7 linked regions of the Cricetulus griseus genome follow. The protein of the gene in region 1 interacts with the protein of each later gene in a pairwise test. Links are inferred from orthologs where the notes say so. Each region holds a gene or a part of one and is shown in the gene's direction. Other genes may lie near its edges. The genes, in order: Krt15, Mos, Amotl2, Txlna, Wac, Lnx1 and Nup54.

The links.
Region 2: the proteins of Krt15 (region 1) and Mos interact in a two-hybrid assay, tested with the Homo sapiens proteins (2 studies listed by BioGRID and IntAct). The two-hybrid records come from large-scale screens. The link is inferred for Cricetulus griseus from reciprocal best matches to the Homo sapiens genes KRT15 and MOS.
Region 3: the proteins of Krt15 (region 1) and Amotl2 interact in binary tests that used the Homo sapiens proteins (3 or more experiments, as listed by UniProt). The two-hybrid records come from large-scale screens. The link is inferred for Cricetulus griseus from reciprocal best matches to the Homo sapiens genes KRT15 and AMOTL2.
Region 4: the proteins of Krt15 (region 1) and Txlna interact in binary tests that used the Homo sapiens proteins (3 or more experiments, as listed by UniProt). The two-hybrid records come from large-scale screens. The link is inferred for Cricetulus griseus from reciprocal best matches to the Homo sapiens genes KRT15 and TXLNA.
Region 5: the proteins of Krt15 (region 1) and Wac interact in a two-hybrid assay, tested with the Homo sapiens proteins (4 studies listed by BioGRID and IntAct). The two-hybrid records come from large-scale screens. The link is inferred for Cricetulus griseus from reciprocal best matches to the Homo sapiens genes KRT15 and WAC.
Region 6: the proteins of Krt15 (region 1) and Lnx1 interact in a two-hybrid assay, tested with the Homo sapiens proteins (3 studies listed by BioGRID and IntAct). The link is inferred for Cricetulus griseus from reciprocal best matches to the Homo sapiens genes KRT15 and LNX1.
Region 7: the proteins of Krt15 (region 1) and Nup54 interact in binary tests that used the Homo sapiens proteins (3 or more experiments, as listed by UniProt). The two-hybrid records come from large-scale screens. The link is inferred for Cricetulus griseus from reciprocal best matches to the Homo sapiens genes KRT15 and NUP54.

The regions. Positions count from the first base shown.
Region 1 is NC_048600.1:112,452,083-112,456,297, forward strand, and holds the start of Krt15 (keratin, type I cytoskeletal 15), read left to right. Parts: upstream 1-1,415; coding exon 1,416-1,904; intron 1,905-2,765; coding exon 2,766-2,848; intron 2,849-2,966; coding exon 2,967-3,123; intron 3,124-3,528; coding exon 3,529-3,690; intron 3,691-3,789; coding exon 3,790-3,915; intron 3,916-4,073; coding exon 4,074-4,215.
Region 2 is NC_048595.1:156,239,046-156,241,756, forward strand, and holds Mos (proto-oncogene serine/threonine-protein kinase mos), read left to right. Parts: upstream 1-1,176; coding exon 1,177-2,211; downstream 2,212-2,711.
Region 3 is NC_048597.1:210,962,578-210,966,077, forward strand, and holds part of Amotl2 (angiomotin-like protein 2), read left to right. Parts: coding exon 1-745; intron 746-3,500. UniProt on the Homo sapiens protein: Regulates the translocation of phosphorylated SRC to peripheral cell-matrix adhesion sites. Required for proper architecture of actin filaments.
Region 4 is NC_048595.1:23,393,122-23,397,081, forward strand, and holds the start of Txlna (alpha-taxilin), read left to right. Parts: upstream 1-1,160; 5' UTR 1,161-1,278; exon of another isoform or gene 1,279-1,293; intron 1,294-1,827; 5' UTR 1,828-1,833; coding exon 1,834-1,999; intron 2,000-2,942; coding exon 2,943-3,281; intron 3,282-3,960. UniProt on the Homo sapiens protein: May be involved in intracellular vesicle traffic and potentially in calcium-dependent exocytosis in neuroendocrine cells.
Region 5 is NC_048596.1:206,962,511-206,966,010, reverse strand, and holds part of Wac (WW domain-containing adapter protein with coiled-coil), read left to right. Parts: intron 1-940; coding exon 941-1,249; intron 1,250-1,959; exon of another isoform or gene 1,960-2,079; intron 2,080-3,500.
Region 6 is NW_023276807.1:141,117,660-141,121,159, reverse strand, and holds part of Lnx1 (E3 ubiquitin-protein ligase LNX), read left to right. Parts: intron 1-1,326; coding exon 1,327-1,552; intron 1,553-3,500.
Region 7 is NW_023276807.1:157,219,161-157,222,785, reverse strand, and holds the end of Nup54 (nucleoporin p54), read left to right. Parts: intron 1-584; coding exon 585-704; intron 705-985; coding exon 986-1,096; intron 1,097-2,374; coding exon 2,375-2,503; 3' UTR 2,504-3,125; downstream 3,126-3,625. UniProt on the Homo sapiens protein: Component of the nuclear pore complex, a complex required for the trafficking across the nuclear membrane.

The DNA.
Region 1 (4,215 bases):
CCCATAAAGTGAGTGTCCTATACACAAAGAGGCTGAGCCTTGAAAACTGACGAGTACAGATCTTCACAGGAGTCATTCATAGAAATGGGGTTTAAACACAGGCCCAAGGAACGCTGGAGCCCTATTCACTTTCTCGTATTGTAGCTCTCCATTAGAAGCCCTCCTGTGGATTCTCTCCAGTCTGGGTGGCACTGCCCACAGTGCCATTGTCTTAGAGAAATAGGGCTGTTAGAGCTGGTGGCAGAAGACCCTGTCCTTTTTGGCCTCAGTATTGCAGTGACTGATTCCTTGGCCTCTGAGCTCTGATGTGTTCCACCTGCTTGCCAGCCCCCCTTCCTGCCTCCGCCTTCCTCCCTGTACTTAGGCACGCAGAGCAGAGCCTCTAGCTCAGCCCCTCCCCAGCTGGCAGCAGCTGACAAGGCAAATGGGGGTTAATCTGGCCCCTGCTAAGCAGCGACATGTCTCTTGCTGAAGAAGGCGGGGGACTTTCTGGAACTCGCCTGGGTCTTATCTGCAGAGGTTTGCCCCAACGCGTCTTGGGAGCAAGCAGAGGTTCAGTGACATGTGCAGTTGGCTGGTGACAGGACCATCAATCAGACTCCTGTCAGCCTGAGCCTTCTGGGCTTTTGTGAACTAGCCAGGACCCTGGGCTGGGGGGGGAACTGAAGAGGTAGGAGGGACTTCTGGAATTGGGGTGGTGGGAGGGCTGTGAGAGGAGAGAGCATGCCCAGGTATCAGGGATGGGAGAGAGGGACAGGCACCGGCTTTTTTGGTCAACTCGTTTGGAAGTTGACTTGAGACCCTATTAGCCTGCACTGTGGTCACCTGTGTTCTCATTCCCGGGGACTTCCATGTCCCGAAGGCTATGTATAGGGCGTTTGAGTAGGTAGTACAGAGCAGTGGTGGGAGAAACTGAAAGCAGGAAGCTTTCTACCTGGGGTGAGGCTCACATGCCAGCAGTGGGCTGGGGTGGGAGGCAGAGCTGGCCTGGCTGCTCTAACGGGATGGGACATGAGGGAACTTGGGTGCTATGCTGAGGGTTTGCTCTTGTGGCTCTCTTCTCCTTCCTGGAGTGAGAAATGAACCTGTAATCCAAGTGTTAAAACCATGGCCTAGAGCAAAACCCCATTAATTCTGAATCATCTCTCTTGTTGCATTAAGAAAAAAAAAAAAGAAAAGAAAAACTCACCACAAGCGAGCCCTGTGGAGGTGTGCAGGCAGCTGTATTTGTCTGGAAGGCAGAGGAGTTGGCTCCACTCAGGGGGAGGAGGCAAGGCCCCCACCCCCTTGAAACAGTATATAAGGAATCCCAGGCTAGGGGCGACAGCACTGCAGCCTGGTTTCAGCCCAGCTCAGAAGCTCCTGCTAGAGTCCCTCCTGCTTGAAAAGGACACGAAGGCTCAGGCTGCCTGACCATGGCCACCACATTCTTGCAAACTTCTTCCACCTTTGGAGGTGGCTCTACCCGAGGGGGTTCCCTCCGTGCTGGTGGAGGCGGCTTTGGTGGAGGGAGTCTCTACGGGGGAGGTGGGAGCCGAAGCATCTCTGCTTCTTCTGCTAGGTTCGTCTCCTCGGGGGCAGGAGGGGGATATGGGGGCGGTATGAGTTGTGGTTTTGGTGGTGGTGCTGGTAGCGGTTTTGGTGGAGCCTTTGGTGGGGGTTTTGGTGGTGGCTTTGGTGACTTTGGTGGTGGCGATGGAGGTCTCCTCTCTGGCAATGAGAAGATCACCATGCAGAACCTCAATGACCGCCTGGCCTCCTACCTGGACAAAGTACGTGCCCTGGAGCAGGCTAACACGGAGCTGGAGGTGAAAATCCGAGACTGGTACCAGAAGCAGAGCCCAGCCAGTCCGGAGCGAGACTACAGCCATTACTTTAAGACCATGGAAGAGATCCGGGACAAAGTAAGTCCTCATATATATGTCAGACAGAGGGAAACAGGCAGTAGGTGCCCTGTACACATATGCAACAGCAACATTGCTGTTGACTAAGAGAGTCCTTCCCTGCTGTGTAACCTGGCAAGGCTGGGATGCACCTGCTTCCCAGGCACATGTGGGAACACACGTGTTCCACTTGGCAGTGCTGGGGGAGGGGAGGGAGTGGTCTTGGGAATCTGATTTGGATACACAGGATTGCAAATGAGGGCAACAAAAGAGAGCAGCTCCTTCTCCCTGCCTCACAAAAACTTTCAGGGATTTTTGCAACTGATTGCTTTAACTTTGTGACCCGTGTGCTGTTCAGGCACAACCTCAAGAGTCCTAAATGCCAGGGCTGTTTACTTCAGGCCTCAAGGATGTCTTTATTGTTGATCATTGCTAGATCTTAGGAGACCAGGGAACTCAGTGGAGGCTGTGCCACCCCCTCACTTTCCCTTTTAACTAACTGGATCTGTTTTCCTTAGTGGCAAACACGTTCCTTAGCTGCTGTCCAAGTTCCCAATGACTGCAATGTTTTGGAGATGAAGGGCTCTGTCAAGGCACGCAGGAGGCAGCCACTGTGAGCTGTGCCCAAGTAGGCTGGTATAGTGTGTCTCCCGAGAGTCCTGACCTGACAGAGCCAACTGTATCCATTGCAGCACGGTCTTGACTAGCCATGCCCCCAGGCAATCCCAGGCAATACTGCCTCGTTAGTTTTCCATTCCTTGAAGATGCCACAGGGAAGGGAGCATGGGCCAGCACAACTGATGCACACAGGAAGAGAAGCTGGGCAGTAGTTGGCGAAGGGGGTCGTGCAGCAGCCCTAAGGTACAACTCTGTCTCCTGCAGATACTGGCGGCCACCATTGACAACTCGCGTGTCATCTTGGAGATTGACAATGCCAGGCTGGCAGCGGATGACTTCAGGCTCAAGTGTGTTCCCATTTCTCCACCCCTGTCCATTTCACCCCCTCTACCTAGCCTTCCTCCTCTATGACTCAGAACCTGGGCCCCTCACCTTTCCTGACTTTGGCTCCTCTCCCCTCCCCAGGTATGAGAACGAGCTGGCCCTGCGCCAGAGTGTGGAGGCCGACATCAACGGGCTGCGCAGGGTGCTAGACGAGCTGACCCTGGCCAGGACCGACCTGGAGATGCAGATTGAGCACTTGAATGAGGAGCTGGCCTACCTGAAGAAGAATCACGAGGAGGTAACAGCAAGACAGGGTGGTAGGAAGAAGCCCAGGACAGCCAGTCTTTTGTCACAGTCCTCTGAGGGCTTGGGGATTAAGAAATGTACCTGGGGGGCCCCATGGAAGAGAAGGGGCACTAATCTCTGGTAATCTGGACCCAAGGCCAAGCCATGTGTGAACTGCAGAATTGGTTTGCTTCATGGGCTTATTATCTCAAGGTCCTTGTTTCTTAGGACCCAGAGCAAGAGAGATCCTCAGAACTGAGGGGTCCATGTGTTCCAATGGGGAATAGAGATAGGGTGGTGTGATGTGCTAAGGTCACATTGTGAGTTAGAGACAGTCAGAGTTAGCCCTCAGGACTCTCGATTCTTTGTCTGCTTTATAGCCTTGTCTCTAAATGGTTGTCACTCCCACCCCTTGCAGGAGATGAAAGAGTTCAGCAGTCAGCTGGCGGGCCAGGTCAATGTGGAGATGGACGCTGCACCTGGGGTGGACTTGACCCGCATGCTGGCCGAGATGAGGGAACAATATGAGGCCATTGCGGAGAAAAACCGTCGGGATGCAGAGGCCTGGTTCTTCAGTAAGGTGGGCCTGACACCCCCAGCTCTGCTCTCTCCCTCCTTCCCACTCCAGAGGCCTCTGAGGAGGCCCATGAGGCTCATGTTTCTCATGTGTGACTTGCAGACGGAAGAGCTGAACAAGGAGGTAGCTTCCAACACAGAAATGATCCAGTCCAGCAAGACGGAGATCACAGACCTGAGGCGCACCATGCAGGGGCTGGAGATCGAGCTGCAGTCCCAGCTCAGCATGGTACGGTCACTCTCTCCCTACTGGGTGACACATGGCCAGTAAAGCCTCACCTCACACATTCCTGTCACCTCAGGCAGTCCTTACCACCCTTCCTGCTCTTCTCCCTCCAGTGGGTTGCCTTCTAGCCCAATGGGTTTATGCATCTGTCACCCCACCAGAAAGCCGGGCTGGAGAACTCTCTGGCAGAGGTGGAGTGCCGCTATGCCACACAGCTGCAGCAGATCCAGGGGCTTATTAGCAGCCTGGAGAGCCAGCTGAGCGAGCTCCGCTGTGAGATGGAAGCTCAGAACCAGGAATATA
Region 2 (2,711 bases), on another chromosome or scaffold:
GGCTCTCTTTATTAACTTGCCTTCTCAAAACCTGTAGTTCTAAAATCAGAAGCACATAGCTGTCACATAAAAAGTGGTCACTTATCACATGTAAGCAAAAAAGAAAAAAAAAAAAAAAAAGCTTTACCAAGTGCTGAAAAGTGTAGCTCCTGAGCACTTTCAGGGACTGTTTAAATGACAGAGTAAGATTGTTGCTCTCTTCTTTTCCCCCAAAGATATGGCATGAAAATGAGCACTGTATTATGAAAATTGGAAATGATGAGTCTGGTTTGGTGGCCAGGCCCTGAATTTATGTTTAGTGCCTGCTTTTCTGTACTATAGAAGGATTCCAGTGATTCTGTGCCATGTCTGTTCCTCCTGGTTTTCCTGTGCTTATTTACAGCTATGGCCATCACACTCACTTTGTTCCTTTTTCTCTCCCTCCAAGTCTGTGTTAAGTTCCAGTAACTTGTTGGCTGTGGTCTAGAATCTGGGTGACCTGACTTGCCTGGAAAGGAAGGACTGGTAGGAAGTCGGGGTGTTGCTAAGAAGTCTTCTTGCTGTAGAAATCAAATCCATCAGAATCCCCCTTCTGATGAACTTAGGAGGTGTGCATGTTTTGTATCACTGATTCTATTTTGATTAATGACATTAAAGTTACAATTTTTAATTCTTATGAAGGTTGCACCTAATAATCTTGGCAAGTGGTTCGACAAATGCCTGCTATTTGTATTGCAACTCTTGCATCCAATAGCTGCTTGGAGTGATTTAACGCAGCTGAGGAGGACTAGCACTAACAATCATTATAGCCTGAAAAGTGCACAAGTTCACTGTGCTTTTTTTCCTTCTTCAGTCTAAAGACCGATTAATGCTCATCAGATGCTACTTGAAAATCGTTTTCGTTGTATTATGATTAAAGAAATAGTTTAAAGGAGAGGTGAGCCCTGAGGCAGGCCAGTGCTATTTAACCCGTGAGAGGTCGTTTTACTAAGGATTTACTTTAGCCATGCTTCGTCTGCACCCCACCCCCATCTTGCTGAGTGATAGCACAGATGTAGCTCGTTTTGAGAATACAAGGAAGGAGGGAAAGGGGCTAGGGTGAAATCAGGAATCTTCAACCATGCTTCCAGACTCCCCAGGGTTGTTCCTAGTCATTTCTACCTAGTGCCCCTGGTGCCTTTCCTACCTGAAGGTGTGATGCCATCGCCTCTAGCCCTATGTCGCTACCTCCCTGGTGAGTTGTCACCGTCGTTGGACTTGCGACCCTGCAGTAGCCCCTTGGTGGCTCCGGGGAAGGCCGGGAAGCTCTTCCTGGGAGCCACTCCTCCTCGGGCCCCGCGGCTGCCACGCCGGCTGGCCTGGTGTTCCATCGACTGGGAACAGGTATGCCTGCTGCATAGGCTGGGTTCTGGAGGGTTTGGTTCGGTGTACAAAGCCACTTACCACGGTGTTCCTGTGGCCATAAAGCAAGTGAACAAGTGCACCAAGAACCTACGTGCATCCCAGCGGAGTTTCTGGGCTGAACTCAACATTGCAAGACTGCGCCATGACAACATAGTCCGGGTTGTGGCTGCCAGCACGCATACGCCCAAGGGCTCTAACAGCCTGGGTACCATAATCATGGAGTTTGGGGGCAATGTGACTCTACACCAAGTCATCTATGGTGCCACCCGCTCTCCAGGGCCTCTAAGCTGCAGCCGAGAACAACTGAGTTTGGGGAAGTGCCTTAAGTATTCCCTAGATATTGTTAATGGCCTGCTTTTCCTCCACTCACAAAGCATTTTGCACTTGGACCTGAAGCCAGCGAACATTTTGATCAATGAGCAGGACGTCTGTAAGATCAGTGATTTCGGCTGCTCCCAAAAGCTGCAAGATCTGTGGTGCAGCCAGACGCCCCCTCACCACATAGGTGGCACCTACACGCACCAAGCTCCGGAGCTCCTGAAAGGAGAGACCGCCACGCGCAAAGCCGACATCTACTCTTTCGGCATCACCCTCTGGCAGATGACCACCAGGGAGGTGCCATACTCAGGCGAGCCTCAGCAGGTGCAGTACGCTGTGGTGGCCTACAATCTGCGACCGTCCCTGGCGGGGGCAGTGTTCACCTCCTCACCGACGGGGCGGAAGTTGCAGAGCATCCTCCGGAGCTGCTGGGAGGCCCGCGCCCTGCAGAGGCCGGGTGCAGAACTGCTCTTGAGGGACCTGAACGCTTTGCGAGCAGCATTGGGCTGACTCCATCCAGCCTGTGCTTTTTGTTTCTGATTATTTTTAAAGAAGTAAGGGTGGTGTGGAAGAAAACATACCCCTAGGACATAATTTTAGAAAATAAAGTTACTGAAAACTTCAATCTGAAGGGTTTTTTTTTTTTTTTTCCTGAGAATAAGGAGGCTACAGATTTCATGAGCATCACTGCTGGTAACAAACCTGACCCCCTTTATAGTTCTCTGTCCCCTTTCTGGGCTCCTGACCGACTGTATCATCTCCACAATATTGCTGTTAGTTGGATTTGTTACTGAGTGGAAAACAGAAGAGAAAGGGAGGGGAGAGTAAGGAAAGGAGGGAGGGAGGGAGGGAGGAAGGGAGGAAAGAAAGAAGGAAAGAAGGAAAGAAGGAAATGACATGACTACTAATAGGTGTGGTGAAAGAGAAAGTTTATTGTAGATAAAAGGGAGACATAGTCAGAGGCAGGGACATCTGGAAAAGTCCATAGTGAATATGATCCTGAGCCATGG
Region 3 (3,500 bases), on another chromosome or scaffold:
CAAGCCAGAGAAGCATGAGGACACTGGAAGACTCCTCAGGGACAGTCCTGCACCGTCTCATTCAGGAGCAGCTCCGCTATGGCAATCTGACAGAGACCCGCACACTACTGGCCATCCAGCAACAGGCCCTGAGGGGTGGGGCTGGAGCTGGGGGCACAGGGAGCCCCCAGGCCTCCCTGGAAATCGGACCGCCTGAGGACACTCAGGTGCTACAGCAGGCCACCAGGCAGGAGCCCCAGGGCCAGGAGCATCAAGGTGGAGAGACCCACCTGGCAGAGAACAGGCTGTACCGGCTGTGCCCACAGCCCAGCAAGGGAGAAGAGCTGCCCACCTATGAGGAGGCCAAAGCCCACTCACAGTACTACGCGGCGCAGCAGGCAGGACCCCGGCCACATGTTGGGGACCGAGATCCTAGAGGGGCATCAGGAGGCAGCCGACGACAGGATGAGGCCCTGCGGGAGCTGAGGCATGGCCATGTACGCTCCTTGAGTGAACGACTTCTGCAGTTGTCCCTGGAAAGAAATGGTGCTCGAGTCCCCAACCACATGAGCTCTTCACACAGCTTCCCTCAGCTGGCCCGTAACCAGCAGGGTGCTCAACCCCGAGGACTGCCATCTGAGGGCCCAGAGCCCCGTGGACCCCCACCTCAGTACCCACACGCTGTACTGGCTCATGAGACTGCGGCTGTCACTGACCCAAGATACCGTCCTCGAAGCAGCCCACACTTCCAGCATGCGGAAGTCAGGTGACTACCCAACCCTGGATTTCTTCTAGTCCAGTCTCCCAGGAGAACCCCAAGGTCATATACCTTGGATCCTAGCTGGCATGATCCCAGCCCCACTGCACCCACACCAGCTCCTGGGGCTGTCTGCTCTTGAGAAGGGAGAGCTGGAGGTTAGAGGGACTTAACTAGCTGACTTTACTTAGTTGATGTGATGTTAGCTGCCAGTTGTGGTAGCACACTTGGGTGAGGTAGGAGGATCCCAAGGTGACTGCCAGACCTGGGTGACATAGTGAGACCTCTGAAACAAAAAGAAACTGACATCATTGCTTTAACTCAAAATATAGGTAGCATTGTCTATAGCATTCAAGTAAGGAGGGTTCCCAGGGGATGGGAATGGGGTTTAAAGGTGAAATTTTTTAGAAAGAACTAACAAAAGACAATGTCAAGCTGTTTCCAAGTTAAGTAGGCCAAAGGTGGGACTTCCTGAGGGTTTTTAAAGAAAAAAAATAATGGACTTTTTTGTTGTTGTCATTGGGAGGTGTTGCTAGAGAGGCCACCTCTGTCACAGCTGCCTTATCTACCAGCTATTTACTTATTATGTTTTTCCTTATACTTGTCACCTTGAGGATTCTGGACCTAGGTGAGCCTTTTTTTTTTAAGTTAATTTTTTGTGAAGACTCAGGATGTTGCTGGTCTTGGCTTGACTGAATGTGAAGTCTTGCAGGTGGCATATAATGGACTTTTAAAAGAGAGTTGCATAACAATACCAGCCTTAGAGAATGGGTCACAAGAGCCGGGGTGGCAAACTGGGAGCCCAGTAAATGCAAGCAGGAAGCCAGATCATTGCAGGAGTGCAGGTTCCTAGAAATGAGAGTCTACCTTAGTCATCTTAGCTGCATCTTCTTCTTTCCTCCTTCCTTCCTTCCTTTCTTGCTTCCTTCCTTTCTTTTTTTAATTGTTTTTGAGACAGGGTTTCTCTGTGTACCTCTGGCTATCCTAGAGTTCTCTGTGTAGACCAGGCTGGCCTCGAACAGTTCTGCCTGCCTCTGTCTCCCAGGTGCTGGGATTAAAGGCACATGTGGCACAGCCCGCCAAGGTCCTTCACATTTTCCATAGAACAGGCACCATGCTCCATCCAGCCCCCTTGGAGGCGGGCTGAAGTAGGGTTCCAGGAGGCCCCACCTGGAATTTGCACACCCTCTGGGTTCAAGGTCAAAGTCTGGCTCACTTCACACCTGCTGGGTTTTCATTTAGTCACTCATCTCCCTCCAGCTGTTATTCTTTACTCTGGAAAAGAGTGGTGACCCCTGTCTGGAGGGACCAGGGATGGAGCCTTATGGGTTTACTCTGCCTCCACACCCCTAGACACCCACCTTATCTGCCTTCTCAGAGCAGTTCAGGAAGAGGTTCTTCTTTCAGACCAGCCCTATTGAACCCTGCCAGGAAAAGATAATATCCAGGCAAGGAAGTGGACTGTTTGCAGGAGAACAAAAAGCTGGGGAGAGGGGAAGAGGAAAATGGCAGAACCAGGAGCAGGGAAAGCAAGTGTAAAAGGAAAGGAGTCACCATTCTTCTTGGAGCTAAATCATTCTCCAAGAATGCCAGTTGTGTCTTTGTGTCTGGGGGGGGTGGGGGGATGGGGAACACACGACAGTTTTCTGAGGCCACCCTGGGAGTGATCACACTTAGCAACAAGAGAGTCTAGTCAGTCCAGTGACAGTGCTCTAACCTGCTCTTCTTGGAGCTGACAGTAGGAAAAAGCACATGCAGGCATTTCCTGACCAGATGAGGAGTAAAGAACAGGGGAGCCCTGAGAAGGGGGAGGGGGAGGGGGGTGTGATAGACCCAGAAACGAAATCCAACTTTGAGGAGTCTTCTAGGATTTAGAAAATTCTCAGTACAACTCAAGCAGCCATGACACTTTGAGTAGCATGGCCTCAGGAAGGCTCTCTGAATACCCATCCCTCACTCTTTGTTCTTCTCTTGATAATCAACACCTAAGGATGTGTTACACCTATGCCAGGGGCCAGTAGAACACTGCCCTGGGCTCTGCTGCTGAGCTAATCCAGAGGTGGCCCCTTGTTTGGAAGTGCCCGCCAGCAGAGACCAGGGGCTAAACCTTTGTGGAGTTTGTTGTCTGCCGGCCATTCTGTCAGGCCTCACCTTTGTGGCCAGGGACTCTTGTGACTTGTCAGACAAAGGTGACATGACACTGGGCAGCCAAGGTGCTCATTGTTGAAGGCCCAGCAGCTGGGACTGAAATCCCCAGTTTGTCAGGCTGAGCTCAGGCTCAGCACCTGCCTCTCTGCTCTAATCTTAGCAGGGGTCTCAGGAAAGAATTTCATAGCTGTGGGTAGCCTAGCAGGACCCTGAAAACAAAGAGGAGAAAACTCAAGTGAGTTGTTTTAGCTGATTTGAACAGAGTTCAGCTTCTAGGCCTGGAAAGCTGTGTGGATTCCATCCCAAAATAACCTTGTGTGTGTGTTAGGCTGGGTGTTGTTGGCACACACCTTTAATACCAGCATTCGGGAGGCAGAGGCAGGCGGATCTCTGAGTCCAAGGCCAGCCTGGTCTACAGAGCGAGTGCCAGGATAGGCTCCAAAGCTACACAGAGAAAACCTGTCTCGAAAAAACAAAACAAAAAAAAAAAAAAAAAAACAAACAAACAAACAAAAAACCCTTGTGTTATTTGGAAAGGTTAAGAGGGCATTTTTAAAGATACTTTATTTAGGATGCCCAGGGTTGCTTGAGCTGATCCCTAAGACCTTAGCCACAG
Region 4 (3,960 bases), on another chromosome or scaffold:
GAGAGCTACTGCCAAGCTGGTGATGACAGAGGTGTCCAGTACACTGCCTCAGAGAAAGCCTGTGACGGCGATTATTTCTTCTGGGAAGAAAGTGGTTAAGATGGGTGCTGGTGTCAGGCTTCTGGCTTTGAATCTGCTATTACCACTCAATATTGATGCAGCCTTAGATTATATAACCTTTAGCTGGGCATGGTCGCCTTTGTCTTTAGTTCAAGACCAGTTTGATCCTCATAGGGAGCTCCAGGTCAGCCAAGGCTACACATAAGGAAACATTGTCTCCAACAGACAGCAAGCAATTAAAAAAGCCATCTCGCCTTTTCCATACTGTCCTATATTTCCTAGATCACAAAGTATCCTGTACTTTCTCCGAGTAATTATGAGGGCCAAGCTATTAGATACAAGAAGAGAAGACAGGGGCTAGAGAGATAGCTCAGAGGTTAAGAGCTCTTCCAAAGGTGCTGAGTTCAATTCCCAGCACCCACATGGTGGCTCACAACCATCTGCTATGAGATCTGGTGCCCTCTTCTCATGTGTAGATATACATGGAAGCAGAATGTTGTATACATAATAAATAAATAAAATCTTAAAAAAAAAAAAAGAATAAGAGAAGACAGTGACGCCGGGCTTTGGTGGCGCACGTCTTTAATCCCAGCACTTGGGAGGCAGAGGCAGGAGAGTTCGAAGCCAGCCTGGTCTCCAGGATGTGCCAGGATAGGCTCCAAAGCTACACAGAGAAACCCTGTCTCCAAAAACAAAACAAAAACAAAACCCCTCTGTTGGAATGGGGGGGGGGATAGAATGCCAGGCACATGACAAATTACTGGTTTAGGAGTGGAACAAAGGTCTCCTAATTCCCAGCTCAGCCTTCTATCCCTCTTCGAGTCCTCAGAGGTCCTAGAAACAGTCATACACGTCCACAGGGATCAATGGAGAAGCGTATGAAACAAACAGCCAAGCGCCAATCACAGCTTCTGCACTCGAAAGGATACTGACGGGAATCTCTAGACTGTACTGCAGAATTTCAGACCTGCAGCGGGTAGAGACCCTAAAAAGGGAGGCATCTCGGGAATTGTGCCCCGCCGCAATGCATGAAGGGACTCGTAGTTCGTTCCCGCTCACGACTCCAAAGCCACCTTGGCCTCGTCTTTCCCAGCAAGCTCCGCGCCAGCGTTAGCTCTTCATTGGCTGCGGCAGGAGCGGGCGGTCCTGCTGGCAGCGGTTACCCGGGTTTCCGGTGCCCGGCCAGAGCGGGGGACGCCATCGGACGTCCGTGGTGAGGTACGTCTGTTGGCGGTAGGTGGGACGAGCTCTTCTGAGGGTCTGTGGCCCAGCTTGCGTTGGCTGCAGAGGAATAACTAATTCCGTGCGGGGGTCTGTGGCGATGTCGCCGCCTTGCGCATGCGTCCGTGGGGCTAGAGGGCGCGCGGGGTGTGGGTGGCTTCCGCGCGGGCTGGCGGGCGGGCGGGCGCGCGCGCCCGGGGGTCCCACGTGGGGCCGGGCCGGGGGCCGGTGGGGGCTGGAGCGTCCCGCCACGTCATCGTGCGGCGGGGAGCCAATCCCGCGCTCGCGTTCCGAGAGGGAGCGGAGTGGTGCTGCTGGGAAGTGGCTTTCGGGAGAAAGGAGGCCTCTTCTTCACTCTCCTCAGGGCCAGCTCCTCCGACACCCTCCCTGCAGGGACCCTCGAGTCTCCGCCAAGGCCGGCCAGTTTGTTTGAAGCTTGGAGCGCCTGGCGTTGGGATTTCTGATCTAGGTTGTGAAATTTTTTGAAGTCTTGAAAATAGCAACTGTGTCGTCTTCAAAGGATCTACCCGTTTTCTGCCTTTGCAGATCACAATGAAGAACCAAGACAAAAAGAATGGGCCTGCCAAACACTCCAACCCGAAGAGCAGCCCCGGGCAACGGGAAGCGGCACCAGAGGGAGCCCAGGGACGGCCCAGACAGACAGCTCCTGCGGCGGAGGCTGAAGGTTCCACAAACCAGGCTCCTGGGAAGACCGAGGGTGTGTGCCTGCTCTGCTTTTCCAGTGGGCAGAGGGAGGAGTTTCTGGGACTGGCCTCGGTGCTGAGGCCAGTGTTTACCCAGGAAGGAGGAACTATGGAATGAAACAATACCCATTCTGTGTGGGTCTCGTGTTTCCCAGGCAGGTGATGAAGCTTCCCTCCCTTAGCCCTGGAATGGAACCTTGGGAGCATGCTCTGACTGGTTTAAATTAAATGACAACTGAGGCACCCCACAAACAAAGTCATGTTCCCAGAAAACACTTGCCAGTGTGTGGGGGGGGGGTAATTGTCCTTCATACTTGAGACATTTCTGGAACTATAAAAATAACCAAAAATGCGTTTTGAGTAGGAAAAAAAGGAATTAGAGGTGGAGTCTCTACTACATGCCACCCAACCCTGGTGTGGTGCTTTATCTACATAGTTGTCTTTTTTGTTTGGTTGTTTGGTTTTGTGTTTTTGAGACAGGGTTTCTCTGTGTAGCCCTGGCTGCCCTGGAACTCTGTAGACCAGGCTGGACTTGAACTCACAGAGATCCACCTGCCTCTGCTTCCCAAGTGCTGGGATCAAAGGCTAGCACTATTACTTCCCAGCCATAATTGTCTTTTATGGTCATAAGAAGTATGTTTGGGTGATAATAATTGTATCATTTTATAACAAAGTAAACTTAAGGTTTGAAAAAATTAAACTGAGGCTCGGCGTAGTGGCCCTCTCTTTTAGTCCTAGCTCTTGGGAGGCAGAGGCAGGTAGCTCTCTGACTTTGAGGGCAGCCTGGTCTACATAGTTCCGGGACAGTCAGGGCTCTGTAGAGAGATCGTGTCTCAACCAAATAAAACAACATTTATCCCAAACTAGTGTATTTGTCTAGGGTTAAAGAAAAAGAAAGTTCAAGCCAGGGATGTAACCATCTTATTTTCATTCTGTGTCCTAATCTTGTTGCTGTAGGGGCTCAAGCTAAAGCAGCCAAGTCTGGGCCCCTGTGTGATGTGTCTGAGGAGCTGAGCCGGCAGCTGGAAGACATTCTGAGTACATACTGTGTAGACAACAATCAGGGAGGCCCAGGCGAGGAGGGAGCACAGGGTGAGCCTACTGAGCCGGAAGATGCAGAGAAGTCCCGAACCTATGCAGCAAGGAATGGGGAGCCTGAACCAGGGATTCCAGTCATCAATGGCGAGAAGGAAACCTCCAAGGGGGAGCCAGGCTCAGAAGAGGTCCGAGCAAGTGATGAGGTTGGAGACCGAGACCACCGAAGGCCACAAGAAAAGAAGAAAGCCAAGGGTCTGGGTGAGAGGGCAGCTACTGGTGAGGGGAGGGAGTTAAGACCTGTCATTTCATGAGCTAGCCTGCTCTGTCAGAACTCAAAGGAATCTGCTTCTCAAAACAGAACATCCCCCAGTTTAGTCAAAGCCATGACTGTGGAGTAACAGCATTGAGCTGTTCAGATTGCTCACCTGGGCAAGGCCTCTTGTCCTTGGAAGCAAGTGAAGGCAACCTGCTCTTTTCCTGTGGACATGTTCATGCTCCACTCCTGGGTCTTAGTTTCCCTATTTAGAAAGCAACAAAATTGGGCTACACCAAGGTAAAGATCTCAAATGTCAACATTAACCAGGTAAACCATGAACCTCTTGAGAATGAAGAGAGGGTCTACTTTATCCAAAAAATTAACTTCTACCTGTTTAGTTCCCTGCCTTCCCCCCCTCCACCCCCCCCAGGGTTTCTCTGTGTAGCTTTGGAGCCTATCCTGGCACTCGCTCGGGAGACCAAGCTGGCCTCGAACTCACAGAGATCCACCTGCTTCTGCCTCCCGAGTGCTGGGATTAAAGGCGTGCGCCACCAATGCCCGGCTGAGTTCCTTGCTTTCTTTTCTTTTTTCTTTATTTTTAAATTTATTTACTTATTACATATACAGTATTCTGTCTGCATATTTGCCTGCATATCAGAAGAGGGCACCAGATCTCATTTA
Region 5 (3,500 bases), on another chromosome or scaffold:
CTTAGAACTTGAGAGTCTGTTCTTGATCTTAAGAGTTAGAAGAACTGTGGTTTAGGAAAAAACATACTCAACAGTGAGCATCCTTTATACAACTGTCGAGATAACGTCACTTCCTTTTATTCTTAGGGTATTTCTTGTTTTGGGTCTTTCTTTAGGACATTACAGTTTGTTTTTTTTTTTTTTTAAACAAATGATCTTTGTCCACATGAGTTAAAAATGTCCTCCTTTTTTATTTGTAAATGCACAATACCAGAATTTAAATTGTTGGCAGAGTTTGAATCATTTCCTGTGCTTCTGATGTAATTGCTGGTGATAAGCACATTTTTCTAATTATGCTTACATGTGCTGGACTTCTCTTTTAAGAATAGCATGTGAATGTGAAATATTATTTTACCCTCATTAGTGTTATGTATGGGATGAACAGTTGAGTATATTAAACCATCTTATATCATTGAAAGCCCTAGACTAAAACACTTTAGAGCCCACATTAGCTAGCAGCTTTAGTATTCAAAAAACTGAAATTAATGAAGCCAGTGTTCTTTTGTAATTGAACCACTGGGCAATTCTGTTAATTATTTGAATCTGTGATCCAAATTTTTAAAGAAATAGACATTTGCCTTTTTACTTTTGGAAGCATTTTTTTGAGTAAAATGTTATAACTATTTTTAGAATTTTTTAAAATACAATTTAATTTCAAAGAATACATTAAACAAGTTGAGTATAGATGATTATTTATAGTTGTTAAAACTCTTGCTGTATTGATAATTAATATCATTGTTAAAACTGCAGACACTAACTGGGCTTGCAGTTTTATGAAAAGGAACATAATTACAGTTATGTTGCTCAACTAGCTGATGTTCATGACACAGGATTCTAACAGCATCTGTTTTTCTTCCCCTTCTGTCATTCCAACATCTCTTTTGCGAACTGTGAACTACAGTGGAAGACAAGCATTCCAGCGATGCCAGTAGTTTGCTCCCACAGAATATTTTGTCTCAAACAAGCAGACACAATGACAAAGACTACAGACTGCCAAGAGCAGAGACTCACAGTAGCTCTACGCCAGTACAGCACCCCATCAAACCAGTGGTTCATCCAACCGCTACCCCAAGCACTGTTCCTTCCAGTCCATTTACGCTTCAATCTGATCACCAGCCAAAGAAATCATTTGATGCTAATGGAGCATCTACTTTATCAAAACTGCCTACACCCACAGCTTCTGTCCCTGCACAGAAAACAGAGAGAAAAGGTATGCTGTTACTACTAGAACTGTAGGTTGTAAAATATTTTTTCCTTCTGCTCAAATAGGACTCTTAATAATAAATTTTTAGTCTTTTAGAGTGTTACTAGGTAGATGTAGGTCTAAAATTAATGGTTTGGGTTTTTCTTTTAATTAATAATTCTCAGCACTCAACATTTTGTTTTTGGTCTTTGACACTAAATCCAACTATTTAGTTCATACTGCTTAGTAGTGGTTTTAATAACATGTCAAATTCATCTGGCACAGTGCATTATTGTTTAGATAAAATATTTTTCAGGTTTTGTGGCTATTAATAGTTTCGGACACTTATTCTTAAAGACATTTTAAAGCATGATTTTCCATATGAGGCAGAAAATAAATTGAATCAGACCTTCTATTAGATCTCAGATCTGACAACTGGAAGGAAATATTACAACTCAAACTGCATTCATATAGCTTATTATAATATCCTCAGCATGTTAAAAAGTTAAAGTTGTAGTAAGAGCTTCTTGGAGTTGGTAGACACCACAGGCATCTTCAAAAGTCCCCTTGCATAAGGCATTCATAACTCAAACTTGATAGGGTTTTCAATCTCGGAATTATAAGAGACTCCATAAAGAATCCCAATTACATCTATATTAGAAATTGCTGATTCACATCATGTTGATGTGTTGGTCTGTGGTAGTGTGCTATTTTTGTTTTGTTTTGTTTTGTTTTCCCACTGTGTGACTTCAGTGCCAGCAGCCTACAGTCACAGAGGTCAAGTAATGAGTTTGCTCTAGCATGAGACACTATGAGAGGCACAGGGTGACAAGCTTACCATAAATCCAAATCCCTGCATAGTGTGATGTATTAAATTATGTATGAGCAGGATCTTTGGTTTTCTGCCCTTCAGTGATGCTCTGTTCTTGGGCCTTGACAAACAGTAAGACATTTGTGGTTTGTTGTACAAGGTGGTGGGAGGGGACAACTGAAATAGTCGTAACAAATGTCTTAGCATTGGAAAAACACCTGCATTGGCTATTGTTTTTAAATGTACTTGAAATAAGGGAAGAGTGTATGCGTTGTGTTTCTAATTGAAAGTTCTCACAACGGGCGTAATTAATGGAGCTTGTTCTTCATTAACAGCAGCTTGTGTTTGCTTGAGGATCAGAAGTGTGAGAAAACATGAACCCCAGCAGTTTTGCAGGAAACAGTGTTGGTGTGAAACAGTGTCCTAATGTTTTATCTGTACCTGTTGAGGTGACTGTGAACATGTCTTGGTTAGCTTGTCTTATACAAACAAATAATAGACAAACATTAGATATATCAGAAATACAAACATGTTTTTATCAAGTAGAACCCAATGACCTTTTTTAACTGCTCTAATATCCCTTCTAGTTGTAAAGCCCTTTTTAGAGTTGTGATATCACAAAAAAAGCAATAGATGTGAGTTCTTGTACTTTATTCTGGTCAAGGAAGCACATGTTTAAAAAAATTAATTAGGAAGTTTTTCATTTAGTAATTTAAAGGTGTTCCTGCGTATTTTGCTAACACAGAGCAGCTATGGAAGCAGAGCTGCTCAAAGATTTCATGCAATCTGTAAGCACATCTAAATCACATAGCTAACAATCTGGTTCATAGATAGCTATTAATATGCAGGTTAACAATTCTTAGTCTAAAATTCCTTATCCTGTTTTATGGAATCCCCAGACTAAGTAAAATATGACGGAGCCCTAGACTTGTTTAGGTAGTGATGGCCTTTTGTTGCTGACATAAAATGAACATTAACTGGCTAAAGTGGACCAACCCAAACATCCTGTCTCTTGTTTTAAAATATCTTTAAGGGTACTAAATATCTTCATAAAAAAGGAGATCTCTGAGATCGAGACCAGGATAGTCTCCAAAAAAATAAACAAATGAACAAATAAATAAATAGATGAATTTTTTAAAAAACGAGAGATTGATTTAGGAAAAGAGAGAAATAATTGTTGAATATAAGCTTGTCAATGTGCTAAAGTATTTTTTGTAATCAATTTCAATTTGGCCAACTTAAATTGTTTGCATAGTTTCAAAGTATGCTTAACTTCTACATTTTTGGTGGCATTTTTAAAAGTTTAACAGAAACAACCTTGTAAAAAGAATACTCAAAATAATTGCTTATAATGTAAGCATGGAATATACCAAAAGTGCTTGTTTACCTCTTTATAAGTTGGTATATTTCACTGTATTAGACATTTAATAAAATTCTGTTGACAGATGAAAAAAACCAAGATTGGGA
Region 6 (3,500 bases), on another chromosome or scaffold:
GCCGTGATGGTTGTGCCTCTTTGACTAGGATGAGCATGTCTGCAGCTGTAGTCCAGGCTCACCCCTCTTAGTGCATGTGAGTGGGTGTGAGGCAGCTTTGCTGGGAAAGCTAGAGTCCCTAGATTTTCCAGGATGGACAATCAATGAACCTATGAGCCAAGTTACTTCTAAGGCATAATCCAGTTCCACACATTCTAACTGGTTCTTTGCCAGTAATGAAACTGATTTATGAATTGTGTCATTTTGTGGACTCAATTAGTTGATAGATGCCGATTCAGTGGTATAATTAAATATCATCGGAGGGACTTGCTCATTGGCAAGTAGACCTCTGCTATCCACTCCTGTTCTGGGCTTCTCTACATGAAGGGAGGTATGCAGTTTACCTCTGCAAGGATGTGTTAATAACACTGTTAATAACACTGTACAAGCATATGAAGAGGTTGCCTAGGTAGAGGAATTGTGCTTTTAAAGAGCTCAGATTTAAGACAAAATAAAATTTCTCAAGTACAGTCACTCTGCCTGCTGATCTAGAAGTTGGGGGTGGCATGGTACAGCATTCTTTTCTAGTCAGCAAGCTTTGTGGCCACCCTTTGTCATTTTCCTCCTGTCTACAATTATTCTGTATGAAAAAGATGATGTATAAGAGGCACACACCTCCTCAAAAGAACCAAGAGATAAATGAATTAGAAAGCAAGGAGAGGAAGGTACCTTTTAATATCTCTTGCTATTCGGCAAGCACCTGAGTGAAGAATGATGAGGGGCGAAGAGAAGTGACATACAGGAGTATTTTTGCATAAAGTGGGCACTTAGCTACTGCTGGCTCTGTGCAGCACAGAGAGTCGGTGACTACAAATGGTACCTGATTTCCATCTCCATGAAAGCTCAGGTCCAGGCCTATTCTTGATCTGCTCTGGTCTCCCGAGCCAGACACTAACTCCTGTTTTGGTCTCCGTATGTTGGTAGCCTCCCATACACCAGGCTCTGTGTAGGCATGGGAGGACTTAGTCAATCATTCTCACTGTGTGCTAAAGAAAACAGGAAATTAAAAGAGCGAAATTGTAGGTTGTCTTTGGCTAAGTAACAAACAAAACTAGCTTATATAAGGGAACAGGTGAACATTGGTAAGTAATGTGTAGAGACTCCCAACAAGACATTCCCACATGCTCTACTTATGTGCTAATTGAGACCCAGTCTTGTGTCACTATGAGTTCAAGAGACATACTGATCCTCACTCTGTCCACATGCCCATTCAGCCTCTGTCCTGTCACACATGGAGCAGAATCCCATTTGCACTCACTGAGGATGCTTCTGCTTCTCTGGCCTCAGGTGACATTTTATTGAATGTGAACGGGATTGAGCTCACAGAGGTCAGCCGAACAGAGGCCGTTGCCATATTGAAGAGCACATCCTCCTCAGTGGTACTCAAAGCCTTGGAAGTCAAGGAACAGGAGCTCCAGGAAGACTGCAGCCCAGCAGCCCTGGACTCCAACCACAATGTGACCCCGCCTGGTGACTGGTCCCCATCCTGGGTCATGTGGCTGGAATTACCACAGTGAGTCCTGATTTAACACCCCTACAGATTATGTTTCTTAAACCACTCTTTCACCGTCTTGGGCTGATTCATGGGCACGAGCATCTTACTAATATGACCCAGTCTTGTTTGTGGGGCTGTTTGAACAAATTCTATCTTCTGTAGGCAAATGAAAGTCCGAATAGATATCTTAGGGAGTGTGTGAAAATCTATGGAGCACCTTCTAGATGCTTTCCTCGTTTGCAGAGTTATAAGGTGGCTTGTAAAGCAGGGAGTGTAGCTGACTGATAAAAACTCAGCCTGTGTCTACACTCACAAGCTGAGCTCTGCTCAAGTCATTTTCATCCTTGCATGGAGATGACTGGGAGCTGTACTAGCTGCAACCTCACTCAGGTTTCTAGAGGCTCTGACTACACATATAGAAGTAGAGCAGAACAAGGTTAAGTGTCTGGTAGTTGAGGATTCTTCGCAGAACATCTCTCTTCTGTGACTCTCCTGGAAAGTTCTTTAGGAAGCAGCTGGGTTGTCATTTTACTGAGGTACAACTGGAGCCTTACAATGAACTATAAAATGACCTGACCCGCTGACTTGAGATGAGGATTTGGACAGAACCCCACAAAGTGGCTATGTACATGAATTGTGATCATTCAAAGGATAGAAAAATTTGATGTTTGCTTCCCTGGACCAGAGCAAACTTTACTGGCCTTTAGATGTAAAGGTGTAGCTTAGATGTTAAGAATGGTGTCACTGAAGATGGATGTACTGGAGTAGGATGAAAGAGTGGAAGCAGGTGGGGTATTTGGTTTTGAAACTTTTTCTTGAAGGTAGAGATAGCTCTTACTTAGTAGCTTCACATACAATTTGATCCCGTTGTATTTGAGTCTCCACTAGTTGATTCATTACTTTTAAAATCAGTAAGTCTTTAAAAGTCCTTAGAAAGTGGAACACTGAGCATTGAGGCAATTTAAACACTTTACAACTGAGCCTAAGTAGGAGACTATTATGTTGAGTAAATTAATACACACATACTATGTGAATTGGTGTTTTGCCATGGGTGTCATGTCTGCTGGAACTGGGATTAAAGACAGTGATGAGATGTCATGTAGGTGCTGGGAATTGAACCTGGGTCCTCTGAAAGATCAGTCAGTGCTATTAACCGTTAAGTCTTATCTCCAGCCCTAAATTTTTCTTTAAAAGAGATTTTGGAACTATAATCCCAAGCCCATTTGTACCTTTTGTTTGAAAGCTACTTTGCCATTCTCCTCACTGTTCACATGTGCAAGGAGAACATCAAGCCCATGGCGCCTTACTTTTCCCATGAGCCACCTGGCATTGGCAGCAATTCTCTGCTCCTGCTGGAATGTCTGAACTGCACTCATTCCCTCCAAGAGTAAAAGGAAATGTGATATGATGGCAACACAAGAAGATAGGGACTTCCAGAACCTCAGAGCCTCTTCCTATCCTTCCTTTCCTCCTCCTCCCTGCAATATTTAATGGCATGGTGAGGAGGTCAGAGGGTACCAGAGCAGAGGGAGCAGGAAGTCAGTATCCATCCTTTCCAGAACCTTCAAGTCACTCAGCAGAGGTCACCAGCATTACCAACGTCTTGAGTATTTTTTTCAGGGAAAGACTATGTCAGAGGTTGATCTTTTCTGCAAAAGGCTGGCGAGCTTGTGCTTAGAGAGTATGGGGCCTTGGCAACCACTCACTGCTGTTGTAGCATAAAGGCAGCCATAGACCATCTGTGAATGAAAGCTTGTGGGCTTGGCTGCCCATGGCTTAGATAGCAATGTACTCACTCAAACACAATGGAGGCCTGTGAGCTCATATGGTACAAAGCTTTTTAAAACTTACAAAGAAACCTAAGAATTGATTTTGGGAATCACGATAGTCAGGGCACCACCAATGTCCACTGCCTCCAGGGATGGGTCAAACTGTACATCTGTGAAGCCAGGTGGCAGGTTAGGTG
Region 7 (3,625 bases), on another chromosome or scaffold:
TCTACAGAGAGAGTTCCAAAACAACCTCCAAAGCAATACAGAGAAACCCTGTCTTGAAAAAAAAAGGGGGGGGGCTGGAGAGATGGCTCAGAGGTTAAGAGCACCGACTGCTCTTCCAGAGGTCCTGAGTTCAATTCCCAGCAACCACATGGTGGATCACAACCATCTGTTATGAGATGTGGTGCCCTCTTCTGGTGTGCAGATATACATGGAAGCAGAATGTTGTATACATAATAAATAAAATCTAAAAAAAGAAAGAAAGAAAGGAAATCTAATTGGATATAAAAGCGCTTCAGAGTAAAAATATAAAGGATTTGGATTTTTTGCCCCCCTTTTTTAATGTTTTTGGTTTTTACTGTTTATTTGAGGCAGGGTCTCAGCTATGCAGCCTAGACTTGTCCTAGAACTCTCCTTGTTCCTCAGGCCAGCCTCAGACTTGTCCTCATGTCTTAGCCTCCCAAGTACTAGGATTTCAAAGCACCCCCCCCCCCCAACATATTAATTCTCAGCTAGTTTTTGCCAGCAAGTCCATAATTGTTCGTAAAAAGTATTCTACTGGCTGGTACTGATCTTGTCTTTTACAGGTCCTAATCAAACAGGAGATTCAAAGGAAGAGCGGCTACGCCATCCAGGCTGACGAAGAGCAACTGCGGGTTCAGCTGGACACTATCCAGGGGGAACTAAATGCACCTACTCAGTTCAAAGTAAGCACTTGGAAGCCTATCTGGCTCGAGGCTGTTTGAGGTAGAGCTGAATAGGGATAAGTAGTCATCACACAGAAACCTGTAATGTTGTGTGTCTTAAGCATTTGTTTCCACTAATTAAACTTTCTAAAAGAAATTCTCAGTCATGGTACTTTTGGCTTGCATTAGTGCTTCAAGACCCGGGAGTTTTAACTGATGGTTTCAAGGCTATCTTATCAAAAACAGCCACCGTCTTTAGGAGTTGCTGTGATTGTTAGCGCTTGTTTCTAACTCATTTTTAGGGTCGACTAAATGAACTGATGTCCCAGATCCGGATGCAGAATCACTTTGGAGCTGTGAAATCTGAAGAAAGGTATTACATAGATGCAGACCTGTTACGGGAGATCAAGCAGGTGAGTGTTAGCTTACAACTACATATCTGTCAGGGTGGCTGCTGTTCAACAACAGAGTTACTCACCCATTAGAATGTGGAGAAATTGTAACCTCAATTTCTCCTCAAATTGGCACCTTTAAGTAACATGAAATATAAAAAAAAAACATCAGTAGTGGCACCAGCATTTAATCCCAGTACTTGGGAGACGGAGACAGGTGGAGCTCTATGAATTCGAGGCCAGCTTGGTCTAGATAGCTAGTTCCAGGACAGCTAGGGCTACAGAGAAACCCTGTCTCAAACAAACAAACAAAAAGCTAAATAAAAAGTAGAATTAACATCTCATCTGGCAGTTCTCCATCTGTTTGTTTTTGACAGACAAGGTCTCAGTATGTAACCCTGGTTGGTCTTAACTAAGGGATCTGTCTGCCTCTGCCACTTGAGTGCTTAGATTCAAGGTATTACCACCACGCCCAGCCAGTTCTATTTCTGGATATATGTACCCCAGGAAGTTGAAAGCAGGGATCTGCACAAACTTTTATATACCTGTGTACATACACATATAGTGGAGTATTACTCCTAAAGAGGAGGAAATTCTGACACATGCCACAACATGGATAGACCTTGAAATATGTGGTCATACAAAGACAAATGTATGATTCCCCCTCTGTGAAGCAGAGTAACCCATGACCAACTTTGATGTGAACATACACAACATCCCTGTACACATAAAATGGTCCACATGTTATGGCACAGTAAAGAGCCAAATGTATCAACCTCCCCCTACCCCCCCCCCCCGATATTATTTAGATAGTAGAAGTGTCAAAGGGTAGGCAATAGCAGTACTCAGGTCAGCGGGGAGGTAAATCTCAGGCTTCCTCCAAATCCTCTCGCTGCATTTTATCTAGAATGATCTGTATGTATATCAAATTGAGAAGCTGGGATCAGGGATGTAGCTCAGTTAGTAGAGTGCTTGCCTACTGTGTCTGGAGCCCTGGCTCCAATCCCCAGCACCATGGAAACTGTGATAGTGCATACCCACAGTCACAGACAGCATTTGGGAGGCAGGAGCATTGGTTCAAGGCCCTAAAAATACAGAAAACACATTTTAAAGATATTGTCGATGAATGCTTGTCTGGGTTTCCCTGGTTTTAGAGTGTCTTGTACTGATGATAGTTGTCTCACTGTGCATGCTTGTTGTGTTTAGTCAATGAGTGCTGTATTGTAAGTACTTAATGGATAGCTTTCAGTTTAACAGAACAGTACACTCACGTTTTATTTTCTTCCAAATTCATTCTAGCATTTGAAACAACAACAGGAAGGCCTCAGCCACCTGATTAGCATCATAAAAGATGACCTAGAAGATATAAAACTGGTAGAACATGGATTGAATGAAACCATCCATACTAGAGGCGGTGTCTTTTGCTGACCATTTACAGACTCTGTCAGAGGTTCATAAAGTCATCTTGCTACTTCAGGCCTTACGATGACCACGTGGATGGGAAAAAGTCCTTTCCTCATTGGCGGGTTTGAGGTTCCTGAGAAACTACTGGACATTAAATCTGAAATGGACACCACAAAGCTCTTCAAAGAGAATCTGAAAATTTATACCTAAAAGTATACTTAAGAAAAAACTACACAATTATCCAAAGTATATGCACTGCTGTACATTTTACAGCAGCATTAAGCATAGACAGTGTTTAATGGTTATTCTCCATTCTTTTTCCATAGCACAAAATCCTAACAAAATAAACTGTAATTATGTGGCTGTTGACTATGCTTCAGAGTGTGAATGTATTTCAGCTTTTATATCTGTGAGGTCATCAGTGGAGAGTAAAAAAAATCCTAAAGTATTTAATGATTTGTGTGGTTTTCCTTTTGTTCTATGAAGACGTGAAGATATATTTTTATATTATTTTACTTATTTGGAACTGACAGAACATGCCTAACCAATTAGGATTTAGCAAAATCACTGTTTTGGCAAACTTTTTTCTTAACTTTTTATTTCTAAACATGAAATCTATAAAATAAATTGTTAATTTGCAATTTTATGTAATTCTTTCCTCTGGTGTTTTATTTAAGGACTTATCAGTATTGACATGTTTTGACTAGAATATAACAAATGGAATCATCTAGGATGAAGAGGTCCCTCATAAATTAGCATCTGAAAACAGTGATTGAATACTACATAATCTGATTCTTCTATAGACCACCGTTTTTGAATACAACTTCAGACTGCAGGACAGACCTGGGCCGCAGCTTGTTGACACCTCTCCAAATGCTGTAACTATGCTTCACTCCTGTGTGGTGCTTTGGCTTACATTGGGGGATGTTATGAGAGAGAACACTGTGAATCTTGCTGTTGTACTAACGTGTGGTGATGGGAAAGCGCCATGTCTAGAATCCTACTGAAGCAGAGGTTACACTGTAAAGACGAGAGACTAAAACTTTCCAGTTTGGCTGCAACAATTTTGTAGTTGTTGATGCTGGGTGTGGAACATACAAACATAACACCACTCTCCCATTTTTTTTTTCTTCTGTCTTAATTTCA